Linked DNA regions of Alligator mississippiensis. The protein of the gene in region 1 purifies or fractionates together with the protein of each later gene. This does not show direct contact. Links are inferred from orthologs where the notes say so. Each region holds a gene or a part of one and is shown on either strand. Other genes may lie near its edges. The genes, in order: cytochrome c oxidase assembly factor 3 homolog, mitochondrial; cytochrome c oxidase subunit 4 isoform 1, mitochondrial.

Evidence for each region.
Region 2: the proteins of cytochrome c oxidase assembly factor 3 homolog, mitochondrial (region 1) and cytochrome c oxidase subunit 4 isoform 1, mitochondrial purify together in Homo sapiens (affinity purification with western blotting; 3 studies listed by BioGRID and IntAct, with this or other methods). This does not show direct contact. The link is inferred for Alligator mississippiensis from reciprocal best matches to the Homo sapiens genes COA3 and COX4I1.

The regions. Positions count from the first base shown.
Region 1 is NC_081827.1:152,237,258-152,249,042, forward strand, and holds cytochrome c oxidase assembly factor 3 homolog, mitochondrial, read right to left. Parts: upstream 5,839-11,785; 5' UTR 5,758-5,838; coding exon 5,756-5,757; intron 5,625-5,755; coding exon 5,311-5,624; intron 5,237-5,310; coding exon 5,133-5,236; 3' UTR 4,618-5,132; downstream 1-4,617. Other genes in the region: cytochrome c oxidase assembly factor 3 homolog, mitochondrial, read right to left, coding at 332-432, 520-718; CNTD1 (cyclin N-terminal domain-containing protein 1), read left to right, coding at 6,869-7,039, 7,932-8,094, 8,756-8,900, 9,739-9,835, 10,436-10,558. UniProt on the Homo sapiens protein: Core component of the MITRAC (mitochondrial translation regulation assembly intermediate of cytochrome c oxidase complex) complex, that regulates cytochrome c oxidase assembly.
Region 2 is NC_081833.1:73,661,159-73,674,376, forward strand, and holds the start of cytochrome c oxidase subunit 4 isoform 1, mitochondrial, read right to left. Parts: upstream 5,291-13,218; 5' UTR 5,186-5,290; exon of another isoform or gene 5,169-5,185; intron 3,574-5,168; 5' UTR 3,573-3,573; coding exon 3,494-3,572; intron 2,368-3,493; coding exon 2,203-2,367; intron 691-2,202; coding exon 559-690; intron 1-558. Other genes in the region: EMC8 (ER membrane protein complex subunit 8), read left to right, coding at 5,467-5,673, 10,736-10,812. UniProt on the Homo sapiens protein: Component of the cytochrome c oxidase, the last enzyme in the mitochondrial electron transport chain which drives oxidative phosphorylation.

The DNA.
Region 1 (11,785 bases):
CTAAGCCCCTTTCCCTACAAAGGTGGGCTGCCCCCAGTCCCCCTGCGCAGCAGCATGGAGCCCCACCACCATGCCCACCCCGGGCTGTGTGTGGGGACCACCGGGCAGATGTGGCTCAGCAAGAGACCAGGAAGTGCGCCAGGGAAAAGGGCTGGTGCCCCAGTCCAACCTACCCAGTGACCCTCTCAGTCCTGGCGCACAGAGGCGAGGGTGCACAGCGGTGCCACTGGCAGGGGTGAAGAGGGCTGGCGAGGCACTGCCAGGCCCCTGCCACCACTGCCCCCCACAATGCAGTCCTGGGAGACTCCGGCTCAGTGCGCTGCGGGCCGGGTCAGCTGGTCGCGCTCTTGGCCTCCCGGTCCGCCCCCGCCGCCGCCTCCTCCCTGTCGCCGAAGAACCACTCCTGGGACACCGAGTGGAAAACGTAGCCGTCTGTGCGTCCGCTCAGGAAAACACCGACACCGCCCCTGGCCCGCCCCCACCCCGGCCCCGGTCCCGGCCCCGGTCCCGGCAGGATACAGAAGCCGAGCGCGAGGGCGCCGAGGACGGTCACCACCACCGCCTTGCGGCCCCCGGACCGGCGCTTCAGGACGCGCTGCGCTTCCTCCAGGTGCTCCGCAAGGTGGCGCTGCCCGGCGCTGAGCTCCGGGTCCCACGCGGGGTCGATCTGCGCCTTCGCCGCCACCAACTCCTTGCGCGACTGCTTCGGCACGGCCATGCTCCGCGCCCGCTCCCTCCGCCTCGTGAGTGCGATGAACGGGTCAGCAACGTCACATCCGCGCGGGGCGCTGCCGCTGCCATCTTTGATAAAGGCCGAGAGTGACCGCCCCCTGGCCCTCGAACCCGCCTCCCAGGCCTGGCCAATCACGGGGCTTCACGTGCGGCAGAACGTTTCGAGGCGGGAGCTAGGGTGGGGGGCGACTGTCTGGGGGGGCTGCTCCGGCCGCGCTTGTCAGGGGCGGGGCGGCGTGTGGGGGGCGGCCCCTGCCCTGCTCTGAGCGCGGGGGGCGCCGCTCCCCGCTCCCCTCCCGCGGAGAGTCCAAGTGCCCTGCTCTCCGCATCCCAGCGTTGTCCGATTCTATAACTCCTGGAAGTCATGTGTCAAGGGTCAGGTCTGCATTGTGCTGGTCACTGAGCTCATGACATCTGGCACCCTGAAAACGTGAGTATTTTAAGGTTGGGGGAAAGGTAATAGGGGGGGAAAGGGATGTGGGGAGAGGGAGTCTTAGGTTTTATGGTGATGGATAGGTGGGGACATATAGTGTATGTCAGGGTGAGGAAATGTACAGCATGGGGCAGTGGGCAAGCAGGGAGTGTGTGTGTGTGTGTGTGTGTGTGTGTGTCTTCCCAGCAACCTGGGCCATGCTGCAGGCGCATGGAGCGAGGCCCAGCACAAAGCAGGACATGTTTCCAGCCATCTCTGCCAGAATCTGTCCAGGCCCACTGTGTGCTGGGCAGAGTCTGCCATCCCCTTGGGCTGGCATGGCTGCAGTTGAGCGTGGGAAGAGGCCCTGGAGCTGGTGGACAGTGCAACAAAACGCTGCTGCTGGGTGCTCAGTAACTGGGTTTGGCCCCATGTGCCCAGGTCTGCAGCCCCAGGGTGTGGCACTTTCCGCTTGACCAGCAGCTGGTGGTGTTGCCTGTACAATGTCACTTCCTCATGCTGCATCTCTGGCCACTTGCTGTGGCTGGGCTCCCCACACTGGTGTCTTGGCCTGCTCCTGGCGCTTTTGGAGCTTGGCTCCTGCTTTTTGCAGCCTGTGGCAGGAGAACGTTCTTCATGCAGGCTGGGGCAACTGGGTACCGAAATGGGCTCCTCACAGGTTCTGGTCACTTGGGTGACTCCCAGTCAAGAGGGCAGTGACGCGTTTGGGCCATACAGGCATGTGGGAGGTGGGCCTGGCAATACCATCAGGGTGTCTCCAAGCCCAGCCCCAGGCCACCTCCCTGCATGTGCAGCCCATCTGGAGTGCCCACTGCTCACAGCTGTTTCTCTTGTCCCTTGCAGCTACCTGAAGCTCAGTGGACTGGGTGTACTGGGGAATTTCCAGGCTTGTTTGGGCAGCAGTGAGAGTGCAGGGATGAGCAGGGCTGTGGGGGGAGCTTATTGATGGGGCAGGCTTGCTTAGGGCCAGTCTCTTGCCCAGGACTGTCAGGCTTCACCAGCTCCTTGAGTCCATCACTTCACAAGTTATGTAAAATGCTAAAAATAACTGTCAAGGTTGGGAGGATGTGTGCCTCAGCTGGCAGCAGTGTGGAGTCTGGCCAGCCCTGGCACCTGCCTTTCTCTGTACAGCCCTGTCCTTGGAAAGCTGCTCCCCTACACAGAGGCAGGCAGCAGGGGCCTGCCAGGCAGCACAAGGGATCTGCAGCAGCTTGGGCTCTGGCTCTGTTACACATGCAGCCTTTGCCAGCTGATGTGCCCTTCCTCTGTAGTGAGCCCCCTGGGGCAGCTGGGCACCCCTATACTCAGAGTGGCCCTATCCTTAGCACAGTCTCTGCTGCCCCGAGCCCCTGACGCTGGTGTGCACTGCCCTGTGCTGGATGGCCTTGCTTCCAAGAGGTCCCTCCTGCCCCAGGGGCTGTGCCAGGAACAGTTGTGCATTTTCAGGTACTTGGGCTGAGACTGTTACATCTGTCCCCTTGGCTTGCTTTGGTTGCCTGTGCCTGAGAGGTGGGGCTAGTGGAGAGGATTGCTCTTGGGGGTGCATCTAGCCTCTGCTTTCTCCAGGCTGCCCTGTCCTGGCCTTGCAGGTGGTCTGCACTACCTGGAGGCCTCTGCTGTTCCTGGGTAAGGCTGCTTTCCCTTCCCATTGCAATGCTGTCACTGCAGCCCCTGCTCTGCTCCTGGCTGCCATCCACTGCCCACCAGCTGTTCCTCAGCATGTCTAGTGGGCATTGTGCATGGGCAGCAGCTGCAGGCGTGCTTGTGGAACAGAGCTAGGGAGCCAGATCCAGCCGCTCCCGTCTGGCTCTGTGCCCTCAGCTCCTCAGTCACTGAGCTGGCTGGATCCAGTGCAGGGCTGGTTTGTTCCATGATTGCTGACCTGGGAGATGGAAGCCACAAGGCTCAGGAATTTAAATTACCCCCATGTGTGCAAACATGTGGGGTGCAGGGAGGTGAAAGAGGCCCTCACTGCTGGTGGGTGGAAGCTGTCCTGGCGTTGAGCAGTTCTGCTGAGCTCAGTCGTTGCTGGGGGGGTGAAAGGCTCTGTCTCTCCAGGTTGTGAAGGGCAAGGGCATGTCCAAAGGCGAGTGATTGGGTAAGGAAGGTGTTTCCTCTAAGACCCTCCCAGTGGAGCTGTTTCCATGCTCAGCTTGTAGCCCTGTAGGTTGAGGCCCCAGAGTCCTGGAGGGAACATGTCCCTTGCCCATACACCAGTCTGGGAGAGCCCTGTACCACTAAGCAATCCTTTGAGCTGTGGGTGGCCCTTGCAGGAAGGGACCTGCTGGACTTAGGGTGACTGCTCTTCCACAGGGCCTGAAACCCAACAGCTTCTATAAAGTGAAAGTGCCAGAGCTGAAGGAGATCATCGAGGGCTGCATCCGCATGAATGAGAAGTGAGCACATGGGGCTGCTGTACAGGCCCTTGGCAGCCTGGACCATGGGTCCTTGAGACAGATAAGGGGTGGCTGGGGGTTTGGGCTCTGCCTCAGCCCCAGCCCTGCTGTGGGTCTGTATAGTGCCTGGCCTCTTGGTGCTGCTGCACCAAGTCCTGGCTGAGCCACATACCTGCGAGGTCAATCCATCCTTGTTCAGCCTCAGAAGCCTGAGCCAAAGCTCTAGGCATGTGATCAACCACCTTACAGCCCCCCAGTCCTGCCCCTTCTCTGCACAGTCCCTCCCCTTGTTCAGACTGCAGGAGCTACAGGGAACTAGGGGAAGCCTGGCTCTGAAGGGAGTGGGGGAGGGCACACCAGAAAGGGAAAAGTATGCAACAGGGCAGTGGCCCAACTCCACATATGTAGCAGCAGTCTCTGGAGGGCCTCATACCTTGTTTCAGAGCACCTCCTTGTGGTGATCGCTGCAAAGAGGTCAGCTCCCTCCAGCCTTTCCCACTGCATTTCATTTCCTCCCTCACCCCACCCTTCTCACTTCAGTTGCAGCAAGTGTGACTCAGTCTCTGAGGGACTCCTCAGGCACATTCTGCCCCAGGCCATGTTTGCAGAAGACAGGGCTGGGGCTATGGAAATGTGTGTGCCAACATCCCTCCCCTTCATGGCAGCTCTTGCCTCTGCTTTGCTCCCAGCCCCAAGAGTCCACAGGTTGTGTGTGGATGGATGCTTTTGTCTCCTGGGGTGCCCTTGACCCAGAGCTGTAAGCCAGCAGAAAAAGCCCAAGTGCACTTATGCCTCTGTGTGTTCTAGTATCAGGCAAACCTTCTGCCTTGCACCATGGGCTGCCTGAGGCTCTGCCCTATGCTGAAGACAATGTCTGCTGTTCCAGAGCCAGGGGTGGCTAGCCCTAGGCTACCATGCAGCTCCCCACCTGTTCTAGCTGAGCTGTGAGAGATGCTGCTGCCATGTGAAGTTCTGCCTCTGCCCTGGTAGAAAACAGAACAGACTGATGATGTAAAAACCTCCCTGTACAGTGGTTGTGAATAAAGTAGAGCGAACAAAGGGGCAGCAGTCTTTTATTGCTCAAAGACCGCACAACTCCAGCAGCAGAGCAAGAGTGGCCACAGGGGCATCCGAAAGCAAACTGTCCTTCCTTCTGGAAAAATACATTCCTGTTCTCCCCCTTTCCTGCCAAAGATGGATGAAAGACAAATGTCAGCTTCTGTTGCCTGGTTTGTGCATGGGCTGGAGGAGAGAGAAGGAGTAGGACAAGGACAGCTCTGTGCCACTAACTAGTATCCACACGTCCAGCCAGCCTTTGGTGCGCATGTTGGATTCAGTGAGATGATAAAAATGAATGACTGACCTGTGAATTTTCCCTCTAACAACATAAACCTCTTAGGGAAGTAGGTTGCTGAAACTGTCCCCACAAATACCCCCCAGGTACCACCGCAGGTGAATGGCCATAAGGGAAATCCCTGCCTGCTGCCCAAGTGGCCTGGGGGGACGGGCCGCTCGCTCCGGGTCAGTGCGCCGCGGGGGGGGGGGCGGCGCACGGGCCGTCACGAGCCGGGTCAGCTGGTCGCGCTCTTGGCCGCCCGGGCGCGGGCCGCCACCGCCTCCTCCTCCAGGTCGTCGAGGAACCGCTCCTGGGACACCGAGTAGAAGGTGTAGGCGTCTGCACGCCCGCTCAGGAAAACGCCAGCACCGCCCCGGGCCCCCCGGCCCCGCACCCCCGCCCCTGAAGGATACAGATGCCAAGCGTGATGGAGCCGATGCCGAGCGCCAGCAGCGCGTTGCGGCCGCGGAGCCGGCGCTGCATGGCGCGCTGCTGCTGCGCGTACTCCAGGCTTTGGATGATGCGGCGCTGCTCGACGCTGAGGTCCGGGTCCCGCGCGGGGTCGATCCGCTTCGACACCACCTCCTCGCGCGGACCCGGCGGCGTCTCCATGCTGCGCACCCGCTTCTTCCGCCGCGGAAGTGGGGCGCGCGGGCGGGCGGCCGGAAACGTCACATCCGCACGGGACCGGCGTGACGTCACCCGTGCCGGGCGTCGTCCCCACCACCTTTGATAAGGGCAGAAAGGGACTGACCAGACTCTCAAACCTCGCTCCCAGGCCTGGCCAATCTCCACATGCAGCAGAACGTCTCGAGGCGGGAGAGAGGGAGGAAGGCGCCCCGCGATTGGGGGACTCACATCACGTGACCAGGAGAAGCGCCGAGACTGGGGGTGGACTGTGGCAGCCCTGCGAGCTGTGGGGATGGCCCAGGCCGGCCCCGCCCGACCTCCGTGCGCCTTCGGGCGGCTGCCGGGCCCGGCTTTCGGCGTGGCCGCTCCGGAGCTGCTGGAGGCGACGCTGCTGCGCCTAGCGGCCGACAACGAGCGTCGCCTGCGCGAGCTGCCGGCGGCGGCGGGGTGCTTCCGTGGGCCGCGCTCCACGGGTCAGCAACGGCTCCGCGCGCCCCGCCCCGGCCGGGGCACTGCTTTGGCCGCGCTCCTGCGGAGCGGCCCCTCCCCTCCCCTGAGCGCGGAGGGCGCCGCTCCTCTCCCGCGGGGTCTCCTAGTGCCCTTCTCTCCGCAGAACTGATCTTCCTCCTAGCGGAGAAATGGCGCCTGGACCCCCCAGCCCGCTACCAGGCGGCGGAGATATTCGACAGGTACCGCCGCGCGCGGGGGGCGGGCCCGCCTCGCCCCGCCCCCGTTGAAGCCCTCCGGAGCTTGATTCTGCGCGTGAAGAACACGGCGGTCCTCGGCACCTCCCGGCGTTGTTGCCCGAGCGTTGGAAGATTGTCTTAAGCTTTCTCCCCCTGCCCGCCGACCCCCACTGTGGTTAGGGAAAGCCCTACTTGCTCTCTGCTTCCCCTATACAGCAGCTCTGGCCCTGGTGTGGGTCCCCCGCAGCTGAAATCACAGGCACTCCCCTGCCCTCATCTGGGCTGAGCCAGGGTGGTTTCTGTGGCAGGGGAGGGTGTGTAGGAGCAGGGGGAGGCCACTGGTGTCTTTCCCCCTACCACCCAATCCATTCCCCACTCCTTGTCAGGCAGCAAGAGCCCCAGCCTGGAGCCCTCCCCCATACTGAAGGGGGCATGGAGGGGAAGGAAATCTGCCTTGGGTTCCAGTAAATAGGGTATACTCCTCATTTTGCAATGCTCAGCTGCAGGCTGTAGAATATTTTTCTCTCTGCCTTTTAACCGTCTCTGTACCTGTGATTTCTAGTTGTAGAGTGTTCTTAATCCACACACAAACAGTTTTTCTTTCCATTAGCAAGAGGTAGTTGCTTCCTGAGAGCTGGGCTTTTCTTGCAGGTTTATGATTAAGCAGGTACAAGAGATGTATAATTCCACTGAAGAGTCAGGGGAAAGCGGTGAACAAGGACGGAGCCACGGCTGGAATTTTTTGAAAGCACAGATGCACAACATGTTTATGCTGCGCCTTGTGTCTTGCATCCAGCTTGCAAGCAAACTTTCCTTCCACTACAGTGTAAGCAGACCAAACACTTCCTCGTTGCAGCTTTCAGCAGTATAGGATAGCATTTGTCATTTAGATTTGAGTTTCTCTTATCTCCAGGTCACGGAACTTATTACGGTTTTCAAAGACAGCAGTGACCTATGAATTAAGAACAGCTTGGGTGTAGGAGATCTAGATCTCCATCCATTTTAAGAAAAGGAATTTTTACTCAGAAAATACCCCTGTACCTTCGCAACAAACTGGGGAAAAGAATCAACAACCCACAGTGTTACTGCTCAGAGTCCCGTCACTTGTGTCATCTAGTTGCTAATAACAGCACAAAATCCAGTATTGTGGTGGGTGACATAAGGTACTGCTGTGACTCACAGTTTACCTAAGTTCTTTTTCTTAGCGTACAAGCCCCATTCACTCTTTGGAGTGATATTGAATCGCTGTTAACTTCGTGACTTTTAGAGATCCTGTAACAAGTTTCTCTGCTTTAATTTGGCTAGTGTTAGTTCTTTGGCTGCTTTTTGAGAAGTGAGCTGAGATTTCATAGAGGCACATTTATTCTACAACAGGTGTATATAATGCAAATAAAATAAGATCTACTAAGAAGATACCTAGAATCAGAATCGCTGATTTCGCATCCAGTAGGACACCAACCTCTATGAATCTCAGTATCTGGTACTGCCTGGCAGGGGAGCAGTAATATGGCAAAACTTATCCAACTTGGTTTCCTCTTCTAGCTTAGAGGACACATTAGACATAAAAGCTAGTGGCAGGCATAACTGAAACAGGAAATATTATCAGCAAGTCATGTTAATAATTAAAGCATGGGTTTTGAGAAAACACATCTCACTGCTGGAAGGGGGGGTTACGTTTTAAAAATAACACAAAATAAGCTTGACTTTTTTTCTTCCAGATAGTTAACAATAACACAGTTCTGAAATTTCTGCAGTCTTTAGACTATTCATTCACTAAACAAGAATTGCTGGAGTCAGAACTTGCCATTTTGAAGGGTCTACACTTCCAGATCAATTTGCCAACTCCTTTGGCCTATGTTGAGTTGCTCCTGGAAGTCTTGGGTAAGGGCATGAACAGCAGGAAACAATTGTGTAGAAACCAAAAGGCTAAAAAGTAGAAAATACGGAAACAGTGAATCTGAAGGAGTGTCAGATTAATCTTTTGTAGAGGTAAAATCCATATATGAAGTGACAGTGGAAAAAAAAAAAAGATTGTCCTTGTGGGCAAGCCATCATTACTAATGGGGAAAAAAACCTAAAGATTTGATGCATTCTCCCTATTTAGTACCATTTCCTAGGGTAAATCTGAGGTTTTGTTCTACCTTTCAAAATAAGAAATCTGCTTGAGTCATCTGCCACACATGATAAAATAAGCTTTACCCTGTTGTACAAATCAAGGAATCCAGCATTTCTGCTTCGCAAGATATAGTTGGCTCCTAGACTCATTTGGCAAAACACTAATAAAAACTTAATAGATTTACTCCCTGCCCCCCCCTGCTATATGAGGTCATACTTTTTCCAAAGTGAGTTGTGTTGTTCAATGAATGCCTTAGAGGACCTGAGTAAAATCACATTCTCTTATGGAGCATCAAGTTAAGGCTTTCAGGATATGGCAGTCACTGCTGAAAAGCTTAGGCACCAATTCTAATGCTTCTAATATTTTTCCTAATTTGGTATGGGCCACAAAATAGATACAGCTGACCCTCTAAAATCTTTACCTTAGGACATAATGGCTGCTTACTGTCTTTAAAACAATTGCATGAAATGTGTGTGCATCTGCTGGATTTAACTTACCTCATGCGCGATGTTATCTACAATACATTGCTAAAGACTTCTATTGAAAATTCGACGCCAAATGAACTCCAGATGTAAGTATACATGTCTTAAGGACATGTTTGAACTAATACCAGTGTTTTGTGTATTTAGAGAAAAAAGGCTGGTGAAGGACACAAACTTGCATCTCTAACTTACATTTGCTGCAGTTTGACAGCACAGTAACAGAAGTACTTTGTAAACCAAAATGAGTTGGTTACTTGCAATACCAGTTAATAGGGCATTTTTTATGCGCTAAGAATATGAGACAAGTTTCTTGATTTAAGTAAATTTGAAATGCTGAGAACAGTCTCTGTACAAGACTTCCTTTTCATAGAAAATAGCATTTGGAGGTAGTCTGTTCCAATTCTGCACTGACTGTTTGTCATGCTGGATAAATCAGAGTACCTTCCTCCCTATTGATACATCTCTAGAAGAATGAGTATTTATCTAATTTCCCAGACATAAATTAATTAGTATTTGCAAAAGGAGAGTTTAGAAGATAAATTACTATGACAATGTCAATACTAGTTAGCACAAAGTGTGGTGTATTAATAGTAGTTGGTTCTGGATAGAACTAGTTTCACTCAACATTTCCACATATTTTAGCAACATTGCTATGGAAGGAGACTGGGAGAATGTTCCTTAACTCATGCTTCTTGTCTTTTCTTTAAGAAAACTGGTACATAAACTGAACTTTTAAGTTGAAGCTATTAATACCAGCATGAGGTGACCTTAAAGGGGAGGGCTGTACCTAGATGTTATTAGAACGTTACTTGTGTTTACTGAGTCCCACATATACAAAATCAAATATTAAACATGACTGTAGTTGAAATACAGAACCCGCCTCATTTTAAACCACACATCACTGGTTTGGTTTTTGTTTTTGTACAGAGCAAAGTTTTTGTCAGTAAAAGAAGATTTTATGCTCTTGGCAGCTGGAATTATTGGAACAAGTGCTTTCATACTAAACCCTGAACACTGGAATCAGGTAGAGTCACTGCAGTTAGAAGCCTTAGGAGAATGAAAAAATTCTACCATTTAGACAGTGCAAAGAGAAATTATTTTGAGGGGAGAAACATTTCAATTTAAGATTAACAAGAAAAAAAATCAGGGATAGGACCAGGTAGAAATTATCAGGAAGGCAGAAGCTTCAATTATCTCCAGTTTGCAAAAGAAACTGCCCCTTCCCCCACCCCAATTTCTTTCCAAAATAAAGCTTACAACTTTCTTACACCTGTAACAAATCTATGATTGTCAATAGCAGCATCTTCATATGGAAGTAACCTCTCTAGCACACCAGATTTCTGCCAAACTAGCTACAGGATACTTGTCAGCTTAGAATCAAGGTATCTGTTTTTAAGACTAACAAAGGCCTGTTCTAATAATCTCCAGTAGAATGAACTAAGTGTGAAAACTCAATTCTCTTTTCTCCCACTGAAAGGTTCTTCATTTGGTCCACTGCAAAGGGTTACTTAGCTGTATCGTGGTGGCATGACAATTATCATTTGTTTCTTTCCCTTTAAAAGTATTCACAGTTTAAACTTCAAAATGAAAAAGTATTTGAAGTAGGGGTTTATTTTTTTTAAAGGTTGTGGAGCATTTGAACTGTATCACTGGCATTACCTCACAAAGCGTTTTTGAATTTTTATATGCAATACTAAAGCACAGTCTTGGCACTACACCCACTGGAACCAATGCAAGGATGGAATGATGTTTTCAGTACTACACTACTTAACGGTAAACATGGATTTATTTGGTTTTTTTTCAACAGCGTTCTCAAAGCCAGCATGTTACTGGAAAGGATCCATCCTTTATCATACCAAACAAGGAACTTTAACTCCTTTCTGATGAGCTATAGTAGTTGTATAACAGCCTCTGCAGACTATCCCCTACCTCTCTTATGGAGAGAGCATAGCAGTGTCATTTGGGACAAAAAAAAGGGTTTTCTTTTTCTTAAAGAAAAAACAGCAGCTAGATTTTGTAAATTTGCAGGCTTGGGTGTCCTTTGAAGAAGTTCACAACTTTGATTGGATTGCCAAGGCCACCCATAGAAAAGACTCCACCATGGTTTGGGAATATACAAAATGCTCATGATAAATCCCCTAATAAAACCTTTGCAAACAAGGCTGTATTTTCCTTCTGTATAGTAGCTGTTGCAGAGTAACAGCTCTCAGCATACTGCAGCAGGGGTTCTCAACCTCTGGCCTGCAGAGCAGTGTGATCTGGCTCAGAGGGCTCTGGAAATTATTTGGGAAGGGTAGGGCAGAAGCAGTGGCAATGAATAGTGCTAGTACTCCCCTACTGCTGAATTCTCATGCCCCACAGGCCAGATGATATGACTTTGTGCACAGGATCCCACCAGCATGCAAGAAACCAGGGCAGTGGGGCAACAAGGCTGATCCAGTACGCATGAAGGTATGCATAGGACCAGGGGGAGGGGCCAAAGCATACCGAGGGACTAGTCAAGACCCATCCCACACCATGCATATGGCCTAGAGCCCCAAAAGGTTGGGCACTATTGTTCTAGGATCTTCAGTACTAGATACCCCACTAATCCAGTTATCTGTCCCCACAGAAAATTCAGGTAGCAGACACTGTTGAAGGAGAAGTGCAAGTCAAACACAGCACTGCATGCCTTGAGAGGCAGATGCAAACCTCATTTGGGTTGGAGGTTGTTTGATATATCCATCTCAGTGCAGAGGAATGTTATGCTGCAGGTAGTGCTTTCATTCAGTGAACACTCCTTGTCTAGAATACAAACTTTTATTACAGTGTTCAGTGCACCTTTGTGCAGTAACAGACTGCAAGAAATACTGAATAGAAACACTTAAATATTATAGCAACATTTTAAATAGTATCAAACCCTAGTAAATTTGAATGGCACCAAGTTAAGTGCGCATCTGTATCTGATTTAAAGAAAAAATAAATATGTTCAAGC
Region 2 (13,218 bases), on another chromosome or scaffold:
GGTGATCATATGATGGCTAGGAGTCCTAATGACTCACTGCTGCACAAAGCTAGTTTGACTGCAGTGTGCACATGATGGGCAGAGGAGCCGCTTTCTTATCTAGCCTGGAGATTTTGAACACGAGAGGAACCAGAGAGCAGCCTGACACAGCAAGCAGGCTTAGGGAGAATCTGCTGTTCTTCATTTCTTTCCAGTTAGAACCAAATGTGCAGGAAGGGATGAAGTCAGACTGTACAGAATTGCCTGAATTTTGCAGCAGAGAAGTAGAGCAGTGGGATGGCTGCAAGACAGTTTCCTAAATTACATCTTTCTGCAGTTGTAGTCCCCCACTGATTAAGTCATTTATCTGCAACTGTAAAGCTCAAAAAGGCTCAGGATTTTGTGAATCATCACTTGACGACAAACAGTAGTAGTTATCAGTACAGCAGTGTAATGCAAGACTAGAGTTTTGGCAGTTTCCAAGTTTTCTTATTTTATTTTTTGTCTGAAGTGCACAGAAGCTTTGGGATGGGAAGGATTTAAAAGTAGTAAGGTGATTCTTCCAAGCCATTTACTTACCGTACATTTTCTCCCACACGAGGAACAAGCCGCAGAAGCCAAGGAAGGCGGCAGTGGCACCAACTACAGTCTTCCACTCCTTTGTTCCCTTGTTCATTTCAGCATAAGTCTGATTGAATTTGATATGATACACTGAAAAGAAAGTTTCAAGATGTTCTCTTTATACTCCAGGGTGCAAACACTGCAGACATTCAGATGGGTCTCCCCTTTGCAGGGATGAGAGATTTGTAAGGCCAGTTCTAAAGCACAAGGATGTTATAACAACTTTGCAATTAAGCTGCATCTTTCATGCAGAAAGACTAAGGTATTTCACAAAGGTTAATACATGCTGTTGAACTGCACTGCCCACTCTGTAGATGGAGAAACCAATGCACTAGCAAGAAAGATCTTTTGCTGGAAGTCTTGCAAAGAGTCTGACGGATTCACCCACCAGATTTGTTTGAACAGGAATGGTTTTACAGCTAAGCGAGTCAGGGTATCTGGGTCTTATCCCCGCTTTTAAGTTTCTTAAGGCTTTTAAGAAAGCTATTTCCGTTCTGGTCTGAGTCAAGCCTCATAGCTTTTTTTTAAAGTTACTGGGGGTGGCGGGGGCAGATCAAATGTTTCTTGCATTTAAGAGATGCTTCGAAGAGACAGAACATCATGGCTTGCAGGCCAACTACATGCATCTAGAGTCATTTTAATAAAGACACTAGCATTCTCTGTGCCAATCCTGTACTGAAAAGCCCTCACTTAATACCTGCACCAACAGACTTTCATCTCTCCCATCACTTTAACCAAACTTAGGGCAATGTTTAGGTTAGTTTCTTACTTTATTACAGTTCTGTGCAATTAATATGATCAGCCATTGTTCAAAGTAGCAAGGTACAAGACCTTCTTGAACTTCTGGCAGTTGGCTCACCACAGAACATAGCACCATGCAATGTCAGAAAAGCTGGGTTAGATAAGGAGTCAGAAGGTGCAAAGTGTTAAGCCAAGTTTGAAACCTAGGTTCACTTTCCAGTTTCCCCCTCCTTCAGCCAGCAACTTCATCTACAGGATGTAAGGGGCTTTGTCTGAACCATCCAACTGAAGGACTTAGACACAGATGGTGGCTGCAAAATAGGGGTGAAGTAGAAAGAGGGAAAGACAGGAGATCTAAAGATCTACCACACAAGATATTTCCAAGGAAGGCAGAGTAAACCAGCCATGCTTGCTGCTCATGAGCACAGGATATGGCCTACACACCAGTCCAGCTTAAGAGAAAGACCTCTGAAAACAGGGCTCTTAAGAAAAGCTATTGGCTGAAACAGCCAGGCACTCAGCAGCTTGAGGCTGTTTCAAAGTTGCTTTGCATGACCCTTGTCTCTGCTTCTAAGTCAGCACTTCTAACTGCTCTAAAACCTCAAAGATGTCCAGGTGTTTAGTGCTTTAGCCAACTGCTGATACTGCACTCTTTCCTATCGGCTTCAGTCGATTAACCCCCACAAGTATCTCTGCACTGCCTCAAGACTTTCAACCCACAAAAATCCATTTACAGGATTAGCCTTAGACCCTTACTGTATGCTTTGTCCTTTCCCAGGAGCATTTCCATCAACAGTGAATGCGTAAGAGATCAGACTGGCAGCAGGAGGGTCGATTGGCTTTCAAAAATGAAATACCTACGTGCAACTTTCTCATCAATGGTCAAGGCGTTCCATGATGCCTTTTCCTTTTCCTTCAGGGCCTTCTGCTCAACAGAGAGAGTCTTCGTGTATCGCGCATCAGGCAGGGGAATGTTACGACGATCCACATAAGACGGGAGGCTGGCGTCCTCCATGCCCACAACAGCTGCAATAAAGGGTGGGAAGAAAGAAAGGGAAACTCAGAATTTTTATTTGACATACTAGAGCCAAAAAAATTGAAGTTCTATCAGCAACAATATTAAGATTCCCCACAAATAAAGCGGATGTCAAGAAGTCTTAAGGGAAGTGTGCTTCTAGACAAGTTATCTTCAACAGCAACGAGGGGGAAATAACAGTAACCAAGAAGATTACATTTGCTCTATATCCAGGTTACCTTATGTGCATCAATCATACAGCAAAGAAGAGAAGGATTTTAAAACATTCTGAAATACAAAGTTTGGCAGAGGGTGTCCCAGCTTCAATTAGCACACCTCCCACTAAGTACTATTCTCCCTGACATTTCAAATAGTAGATCTTCCTTTAAGTATTTATGTTTTCCTTTACAATTTCTTCCAATCCCCTCTCTCTGGATCTTGCAATTCCAGGATCCCTGAAGTGCTAATGCTGTTCTCTGACACCACCTACTGGTGATGGCACAGATTAATAACATGCTTTCAATCACCCAGGCACTTGTGTTTCACCATTCCTCGGTTCTGCTTCTGTTGTCTTGCTTCCACCCCCTCCAGGTAGTTTTTGCTAGATATCCATCTAATATTCCTCCATCTTCAAACACAGAAAGTCACAAATGTTCAACCTACGTTAGCATGTTATTTCTTCAGCTAGCCACACACCCAAAAAAAGGCCTGATCCCTGACAGAGTGTATTGCTAGAATAACTGCACTGAATGCAGCACGTTTGGCCCTATAGAAGTTGCTATTAAAAGGAAATAAAGGTGCACGCTCAGAGTAATTATAATTTCAGTGTGCACTTAAGTCTTAAGGAAGCTTTATGTTGCTTTGCTCTTGAGAAATGTGAAAAGGGGCAGACCACAATTTTACTGAACAATGTAGTAGTCATTAAAAAAAAAAAAAAATGGATGTTCTTTCTAAGCAAAGTCTTGTTACAACATGTCAGCCAGCTTTCTACTCCTCCTTACTTCTACCAGTGATTAACCTGGATTTGATAGGCGCTTGCATTTGTCAAAATTTAAAGCTCAGGATAAGGGGACATAGAAATAACTGAAGGTTTTCTCTTTTCCTATCTCTGTGCAACAGGAAAAGCACACAGCATACCTTGTCCATGTCCTCTCATGCAGATGGATGTAGAAATGGCTCGCTTGCCAACTAAACTAAATGCCCTAGAAGCCAACATCCTATGGGAGAGGGAAAAAAAAGCAGATAGTTACCAGCCAAAGATGGCAGATTCATACATATAAATGGAGGAAATCTACACCCTATGCATTAGAACAGCATTCCCAACCTTTTTGGACTCAAGGCCTCGCTCTTGACCTGCAGCCCCGCAGCCCCTCACTCCCAAACAGCTGCCCCCCTCCCACTCCCAGACTCCAGCCGCTCAGTGTGTGGGCCAGGAGGTGGGTATGCATATGCCCCCCCAAAAAATTTCTGCACCCACAAAAAGTGTGGAGAAAGCGTAAGGAAAAACACTGCAACAAATCAATCCTTTTTCAAAAATCTTGGACTCCTTATTCAGGCTTTTCCACTGGCCCCTGCGCAGAGCCTAGTCCGAGGTGCTGTCAAGGGAAGCGGGTCGCCAGCGCTTCAGTGGATTAACCCTGAGCTCAGCCACAAGTTCTCACAAGCACCTTATATTTATAGAAAATGTAGAAAGGAGGTAGCGGCGTCTGAAAAGGTAACATCAGGCCTAAAAACACTGTGTGCGCGCTTCAAGGCCTGGCAGGGAACACCTGACCTTGCAAGGGGACTGCACCAGGGACCAGAAAGCAAGCGTCTCTTGGTGACGCCACAACAGCACCTCCGCTCCCGCCTGACCTGCCAGACACAGCCTGCTGGAAGGACCGAGGAGGCCTCAATTCTCTGCCTGAACCCATTATATCCTTGCAGGGATTTTACAGATAGAGCTGGTCACCGCACCCCTTTCATCCTGCTGGATGCAAAACCACCCCAACGAAGGGGCTCTGCTCCATACCAGCTGCCCTGCCCTGCCCTGTCCTTTAAACACAGCGCCTGGGTCCCCTCCCCCAGCTGCAGGGAACCAGGAAGCTGCAGGGGAAGGGGAAGCGGGCAGGCACTGGGGGCCCCCCCCCATCACCATGCAATGCGTTCCCTTAGCAACAGCTCCCTACCCATCACCATACAACACATCCCCATAGCAACTGCCCCTTAGCAGCAGCCCCCTACCCCACATCGCCCTGCAACACAGCCCCGTAGCAATAGCTTTTTCGCAAGGTGATGCCTGGAAACAGCCCCCTGCTGCCCCCCACGTCACCAGGCAACATGGTCCCTTGGCAACAACCCCTTAGGAACAGCCGCCTACCCTCCTCCCATTATCATGCAACCCATTTGCTTAGCAATGGCCCCTAGGAACAGCGCCTCCCCCCATGTCATCATGCAATGCATCCCCTTGGCAACAGCCCCCTCCCATCACCACGGAAACTGTTCCCTTAGCAACATGCCCTTAGCAACAGCCCCCTTCATGCAGCGTGGTCCCTTAGCAACAGCCCCCTCCCCACCATGCAACATGTTCCCTTAGCAACAGCCCCCTCCCCGTGCAACATGTTCCCTTAGCAACAGCCCCCTCCCCACCGTTACCATGCACTGTGCTCCCTTAGCAACAACGCCTTAAGAAGGAACAGCCCCCTCCCATCACCGTGCAACGTGTTCCTTCGGCAACCGCCCCTCGCAACGTGCCCTTAGCAACAGCCCCTCCTCCCCCGACACCACGTAACGCATTCCCTTTAGCAACAGCCCCGGCCCCGACCCCGCGCACCCGCCGCTGCCAACGACCTGGCCTGTCCTCCAGGCCTGCGGTCGAGAACGGAAGAGACACAGGCGCGGCGGAAACGCAAAGCACGCCGGGATGCGGGTAGGGCCGCACGCTGCAGAACGGACTGTGTTTGTCCCTCTGCGCGTCCCGTCGCCAGCCGCCGGCGGCCCTTTACGGCCGGCAGGAGGGGGCGGGGCCCTTTTTGTCCCTCGCCGCGCGCCGTCCCCCGGCGCTGCTTGACGGCCGTTTCGCGACGGCGGTGCTGAGGGAGCCGGGCCCGGTGGGGCCCGCGCGGGGTACGATGAAGCTGACGACGCAGGCCTACTGCAAGATGGTGCTGCACGGCGCCAAGTACCCGCACTGCGCCGTCAACGGGCTGCTCGTGGCCGAGAAGCTGCCGCCGCCGGCGCGCAAGGACTCGGCGCCCCCCACGCTCTTCGTGGACTGCGTCCCGCTCTTCCACGGCACCCTGGCCCTCGCGCCCATGCTCGAGGTGGCGCTCAGCCTGGTAAGGGGGGGGGATTCGGCGCTGTAAAAGGAGGGGGAGTACGACGCTGTAAAAAGGGGCTAATGCGCTGTAACGGGGGATAAGGCGCTGTAAAGGAGGGAATACGGCGCCATAACGGGGGTGCCAGACTTCTTTTAAAAAAAACAAAAAACCGCAACAACCCCCCCCCCAAAAAAAAAAAAAAAATTTTAAGTATCTTTAATCTGAATTAGCTAACTCCATGTTATGTACTGGCACGTTACTGGATCATATCGGAGTCATTGCATTTTCATCCATGTAATCAGGCAGTGATTTAACTGCTTCTGAAATAGGTACGTATCCGGCTGCAGATGAATAGTAAAAAAAAAAAAAAAATTAATGGTCTTAAAAGTTGAAATTTCTTCGTTAGTATTTTTTCGGCGTGTGCTGGGTGCGTTCGTAACGTCTTTAAATCAAGATGGCTTTGGAAGATAGGCCGTCGCGCGCAGACCGAAGCCAGACGAGGCGCGGGAGGCACTGGACGTAACGGTTACGGTGTCCGTGGCGTAGAGGAGGTCGGATGAGATCGCCGGCACGGTCCCTTCGAGCCTTCAAACCCCACCGTTAAAGTCGGTTCAAGCAGACGCATGCCAACGCTGACCGTTTTGGCAGGAGTTTCTCATCCTTTACTTTAAACGACCTGAAATTGCGACTTTCCAAACCTCGCGGTACGTCGATGCAAGCCTTCCCCGTCAAACTGGCTCGTGCCCGAACGGGCCGAGCTACGGTTTCGTGACCGATAGGCCCGGGAGTTTTCACCGTATGAAAAATGGGAATTATACCAGTCATCAAAAACGATAAATCCTCTGTGCTTTCTTTACACGTAATACCTCTGGCAGCGCTCAGGAAGCGGCTCAGCTGTCACATGTGGATGCCTAGATACGTACATACATTTTTGCCCGAGCCAGGAGGATGGGTCTGTGAGTTGGGCGTCTGTGGAGGTGTACGGGGCTGTACCCTCGGAGCAGGTTGCACGCAGAGCGAGGTGTTAGCTGCTTAATTGCAAGCGATCGAGTTTGAGCAGTGTGGTCCTAGTGAAAAATGGTGATATCTTTGTTTTTTTAAATGACTGCAAACATTGCAAAGACACTTGTGTGAGAGGCAAGACTTTTTGCAGGATGGATGACTTCTTTTATTGGATCTGCAGTGTAGTTGAGAGGGACGTAGACAAGCGTTTGGGTTTGAAAAGGTCTTCCTTAGGCTTGTTTTTTTTCTAGTGTTAACAGTAAATTATTCAGGTTGGGGGCCTTGGTTTCTTAGACCCCGATCCTGCAACGTGGAGTATGCAGATCAGCTTATGAAGCCAGTGATTAACCATAGTGGGTGCTGCGAGAGCAAGACGGGCATTGCCAAGCCTTTCTAAGCCTAAGCTCCAGAACCAGAGTAACCACGTTCAAAACTCAAACTCCAACGCTACGAGCACGCAACGTGCTAGGAGACTGCTGTACCAAGCACTTTTGCTGTGTATTTTAGTACTTGGAAAGTTGGCTGAAATGAGGATGCAGGAGAATGGGTCAGTAATTATATTATGAGGGGAAATTGCCCGTGTCGTGGAAAGTATTTTAAAGATCCATATTGATCCTTTGTACAGCTTATTGCAGGATTGGGTCCTACTCCATGGATCTGGTTTCTTACACAGCTGAAAAATAGAAGTATGAAATTGTCAGAGAGCTAATAAAACTTTATGGTCCTCACATTGCTGACTCCTCAAAGCTTTTTATTTGTTCCGAAGTAATTGATTTTTAAAAGGAAAAAAAGGTGGGGGGGGGAATCCTGATTTGATTTGATTTTTTTTTTTTCTCCCTTCACAGTTAATCAGTTTCTGCAAGTCCTAATTATAAAGCTCATCTATATGGGTTGCAAATTATAATCCTTGGCAATGTTGAGACATCAAGAAGAGCACAAAGCTTTTTTTGTTTGTGCAAAGGCTAAGGATGGCTGTAAATATTTATATAGCCGCTCATAGAGCTCAACTGCATTGTTTTGGCTTTTAAAATAGAGGCTGTCTTGTCAGTTTACATACAGTGTAGTAATATGAGTGCAAAATGCCCCAAGTTAGAAAGCCAGCTTAAACGAGCAAGTCGGTGCAATGCATGCAGTTAAGCTATTATCCTAAGCCAGAAACACTTAGATAGTTAAAGGGTCTTGAAGCATTGGCCAGCTTTAGAGGATTGAGTTTTTCTAGGGACTGTTACCTTAAACTTTTGCTCGTGTCGGTTGTTCTGAAAGTGAATTGGGCCGTTTGTGAGTGATGGTTTTCAGCTCAAACTGTTTTGATTTATATATGAGCGTTAGATGAAATTAGTAATCTCCAGACATCATTCTATACTTGTTAGTCAAGGGGGAGGTGGGGGATCTTTTCAGTGCAGGACTTGGCCATATGGTCATTTTTGAACGCTAAAAATTAGTGTTTGAAAGAGCCCTCCCCCAAAATCCTGTTTTTCAGATGGCAGTTGAAGCAACCTCTTCAATCATCTTCAAATCAGCATGGGAGAAGGAATGCATTACGCTGGCCAGTGGCCCTTTCAGAAACTGCAGCTGTAAAAAAGCATGTTATGGCTTTTTTCTTCCAACAAAGATAAAAATTCCTTGAAAACCAATGAGGGGGTATTGACAGTTATCACTTCTCAGTTCAGATCTTTACCATTCTATTTATATCTTTTTTTTTAAAAAGGCCATAAAGAGTATTGGAAGAGTCCTGCAAAGTACTCGAGCATCTTCAGCATCCACTGAGTGCTTGTGGCCTGTCAAGACTGGGTTCAAAGAGATGTTAGTTTTTGGATGGTGCTTTGGCTACAGTGTGCTCATGAGGGAAGCCAGCAATCATTTCTGTCATTAAGTACAGTAGTTCTGAAAATGATTGAGGGAAATAGGTATGCATTGTGTTTATCAGAGTGAAATCTTATCATTTGAGAAAAGTTGAGTCACGATAAGTTTGGAGGCTGTACCTGGCTTTGAGTCCCCTGGTTAACCGGAGTGGTTTTACAACCACATTTTCCTTTTTTTAAAGAGGTTTTTTATTTGTTTTCTTTAAAACAAAGCAAAGGAAAAACCTCACTCCCTGCTGATGTCTAGATGCTGTCTGTTCAAAAGAACAGTTGTGAAACTGCCTGTCTGCTCATCTCAACTCACAAGTCTTATGAAATCTTCCTTGAATGGCATTATTATGGATGGGGCTTTAGCAGTGCCTGGCCCTTAGCTCCTCTAATTTATCCTCCCTGCTGATTTTCTCTCTGGCCTCTGCTGGCTATTTACTTTTTTCCCCTTTGTAAGCACTTGACATTTCTGCTCGACAAGCACTACATAAGTGCTAGGTCTTATCTTGTCTTATGTTGACCCGCTCCAATCGGGATTAGACAGTAATGCGATAAAATATCAGGGTCTTGTTGATGCTAAGGGCTAGCATTGGTACTGTTATAGCAACCTGATGTTTCTTAAAAGCAGCCATTGTGAACACAGCCAGACTACTGTTAAATACTAAAGGTTAGTTCCTTTTCCCTGAAAACAAGTCTACTATTAAAAGGAATCAGTTTCAAGAGCAGCCAACCTTATTTTAAAACTTTTTTGACAGGCTCTTTGATAAAATGTGTCTGGGCTATTGGCTTTTGTGCCAAGGTTTCAGCCCACTAGCAATTAAAGCTGCAGTCATAAACCTTTGAAGGGGGGTTTAAAATTGAAACAGTGGTTGGACCTTGATTGTGTAGCAATGCTAAAGGATGATATTTTATTAAAATGCCAATCTGTGTCAGATTGCAGATGAGGGATTATTCATGTGGCTTCCTTCTGCTTAGAGAGTTTAATACTGTCATTATTTTGCTAAATGTGTGAGAGATTGATTAAAATGGATTCCAAAATATACTTGATACCAAATTTTGGCATCCTGTAAATCAAATCAATTTTGAGTTTTTAAATTGCATAGCCATATCGGTGGGGGACAAACTAGCTGGTCTCTCTCTTTCTCAAATCCCCAGGTTATCCTGACCTGATGCTCTTTAATTGTGAGCAAGAAAAATGGTCACTGTATAGTTTCAAAGCAACAATGAAATTATGGACCAGATGCAGAGTCAATATAACCTATTGTCTTTCACTGATTCTTTCCTGTTTTACAAGTCATTTTAATGTGTTCCTTTATGTTTAAAAACACAATATCAGCTGTTGTAGACTTCTTGATGTTTGTACAGGGTGAAGTCTTTTTCCCTTTTGGCCTTAACATCATCTACCCTGACCTCCTGCACAACAGGGACCAGAGAATCTAACCCAGTAATCCTGTCATCAAGCCTATACCTTGTGGTAGAGCAAGAATATATTTTCAGAAAAACATTCCATCTTGATTTAAAGACTTCAAGTGATAGAAAATCCACCCACGCGCCTTTAAAGTTGTTCCAATGGTAGATTATCTTCACTGATCAACTCTTAAGGGAAAAAGAATCCCGTTCTAATACAAGCAGAGCACCCCTAGTCACAAGGGTGGGTTGAAAGAATGACGCAAGGGATAGAATTTTTCTTTGCCATATCTTTCATTTTCATATGAGGGATCAGTTGCTTTTAAAAAAAATAAACAGCGTATACATGGTAACACTATCTGATTTGGGGTTTTTTCCCCAGCAAGTTGAGTAGAATCTGTAAAAGTGGCTTTTGAAATGGTGCCATTGCCCCTCATCCACATCCTGTACATTGCCCAACCTTCCATCACCAACTACTTGCTTAAAAAAAAAAGCCAGAAATAGTAATAGGAAAGACTTAAAAATATGTGTCAGTTGATATACTCAAGCTCTTCCTATCAAATCCTGTTGCTAAAGCACAGCTGAATGCTTATAATTCAAATGTCTACTTTCTCTTGTTTGGCTCATATTTTCCATCTCTTTCCCTCTAACTTACTTTTTGTTCCTTGACGTGGTTAAGAATATTAGTACTGGGTTAAATTCAGCAGCCGCTAGCTGACACATTACAACACTTCAGTTGCCAGTTTATTCTCAGGAAAGATATATAATTTACGTGTTTTGTCATGTTTTCCTGAGCTCAATTGTTTTAATTACTTTTTCAGATTGATTCTTGGTGCAAAGAGAATAGTTACGTGATAGCTGGATATTACCAAGCTAACGAACGTGTGAAAGATGCCAGGTGTGTTGGTACAATATCTCCTTCTGTTTACTCTTTTGTGCTGCACTTTGTACTCTGCCAACAAAAATCATTGCACATAAAAAAATCTGTGAATGTTGATTAACTTTGACAACTGTCATGTGGTTGCACCTTATTTCCTGCATACTGCTGGATATCTGTGAAAGGTCTTTTGTGCAGTTTGAGGAAACCCCTATCTTTCCAGAATTACTCCTCTCTGATGGTTATTATTGAATTGCCAGGTATTTGAAAGCTTGCCAACCAATTTAATTGGCAGATATTGGGGAAATAACTGGAATTCACAAGCGTATTCACTTGCCTACCTAATATCTTGTGAACTCCTAATTCATGAATCTCTGAATCCTTTGGGAACTATATCTGAAGTGATTTAATCCTTAATTGCTTCTGAGTTTCATTGAAGCTCTTAGTTACTTAGTTATGGAGCTGCCTTGTAATAGAATAGCACATACATAGAGCGGTAACCAGACTCCTTACTCATCACATGCCTGATGAATGGTCCTTATTGGCAAGGGGGAAAACTTTCAGAAGCCCATAAATCATTCAGGAGTATAAGTTCCCTTGGAGGTCAGCATGATTTAGGTGGTTTTGAAAATTAGAGTTGGGCTCCTCTACATCAAGTCTGCAGTCAGCCTGAAATTTTTACCCTAGGTGTACTCACTCAGACAGTTTTGTCACATGTCAGTCCTACTTGAAGAACAAATTGTGCCCTAAATATTTTACAACTAAAGATCATGCTTAGGGTTTTTCCAGTCCAGGGAAGTTTGTATCCATATCACTGTACTAATGTACAGTCACATTGGTGGAAAACCCCTACTGCAGGCAAAAGCTTGTGCCAAAAGGAGTTTGAATCATATATTTAACAGGGAAAATCCTATCTTATACCAGGGCATTGCATCTAATACCTGGCTTTATGCTGATATAGCTGCACTGATACAAAGCTGGAAAACAGGGTAATTTTATCTGTAGTCCTTTTTGCAAGATTTTCAAAGCACAGGAGTGACAGAATAGCTTTACTGTTTGCTGTGTGTCACTGAAGTAGTTCAGTGCAGTTGTTTAGACTTTCTGGTTCAACAAAATAGTATTTGGGGTGAAAAATCTTCAAAATTATACTCAAATGCATGTGCAACTGCAGCCTGATCCACAAACAGGTGTATGCTAAACTTTCCCTTTGAATTCAGCTCATTATATAATCAAAAAGAGAACCTTCCTCTGGTACAACATTGTAAGCTTTCAGGCTTATACATCCAGGTATTTTTCTAGCTATAAATTAAGGCTGCCCAATATTAAGATTCAAATGAAAGTATTTATCTGCTCTATTTAAATGATAACATCCTGTTTGAAGCATTCGAAAATAGTCAAGCCGTCTTGGCCCAAAATATCTTTCAGCCTCAAGACTTATTGACAACTGAAAACACTCATGATCTTTGGGCAGATCACAAGAGTTTTTGAATGGGCTTACTGTTTGATAGCTAATGTTTTAAGTTCATGCAGCTTCTATTTGGACTCTGTTAAGTCCTATAGCAGAAACATGAGGGAGATTTAATTCCGAAATACTTTGTTTCATTAGTACTACTTGTTCTTGAGCTCTGTGTCTTGTTGGACTCGAGCCTATGGAACGGTTCCCATTAACTTACACAGTGTCAGAAGAGTGGCAGGGTATAAGATGAGTTGCATAAGAGACTTTCATCAGACTTGTTCCCCTATGAGCACACACACTGACTAGCACAGTGGAGGCTTTGATCTCCTTTGCAGCTTTTTTGTGCTACCATTGTTCTATCAGTATTAGCAATAAGTCCTTTTTTCGCAAATGGGTAAATTCTTGTAAAGATTCGAAAACTATAATGAAGATTGAATGTGGTGAATATTACCATATTTCATCCATCTGAGCAATCTGCGTGCATATATTACTGTGCAGCACTTCCAGGTGGTCTGAAGAGCTGATTTTTTCTCAGGTGATGATGCACCTGCCAGTTTCCAAGCTACGGTGTGTTGTTACTGTGATAGCGCAATCTGGGCTGCTGTCAGACTTCCAGATGCATTTTGGGCTAGCAACACTGAAGTACACACACTTGTCTGCACACTGCACAGCTTTATCTTTGTGGATCAGCTCAGCCGTGATCTAATGTTCTGCGCCAGCCCTGACAGAGTAACAAGTATGGTAAGATAGAACTAAATTGCGAAGTGACATGGGGAAAATAGAGCAGCCAGCACCGTAGGGAGCGAGAGAGATTTGGGACTTCGCAATGTAAAGCTCTCCATGCAGGTAGCGCAAAACTACAAGATTGAATTCCCCTGCTTTATCCCATTAAAGTGAACCTGTCTTCTGCTTTCTATTCTCAAACAACCTGTTCTGTGCGACTGAGCCCTAGAGTTGCAGAGGAAGTATGA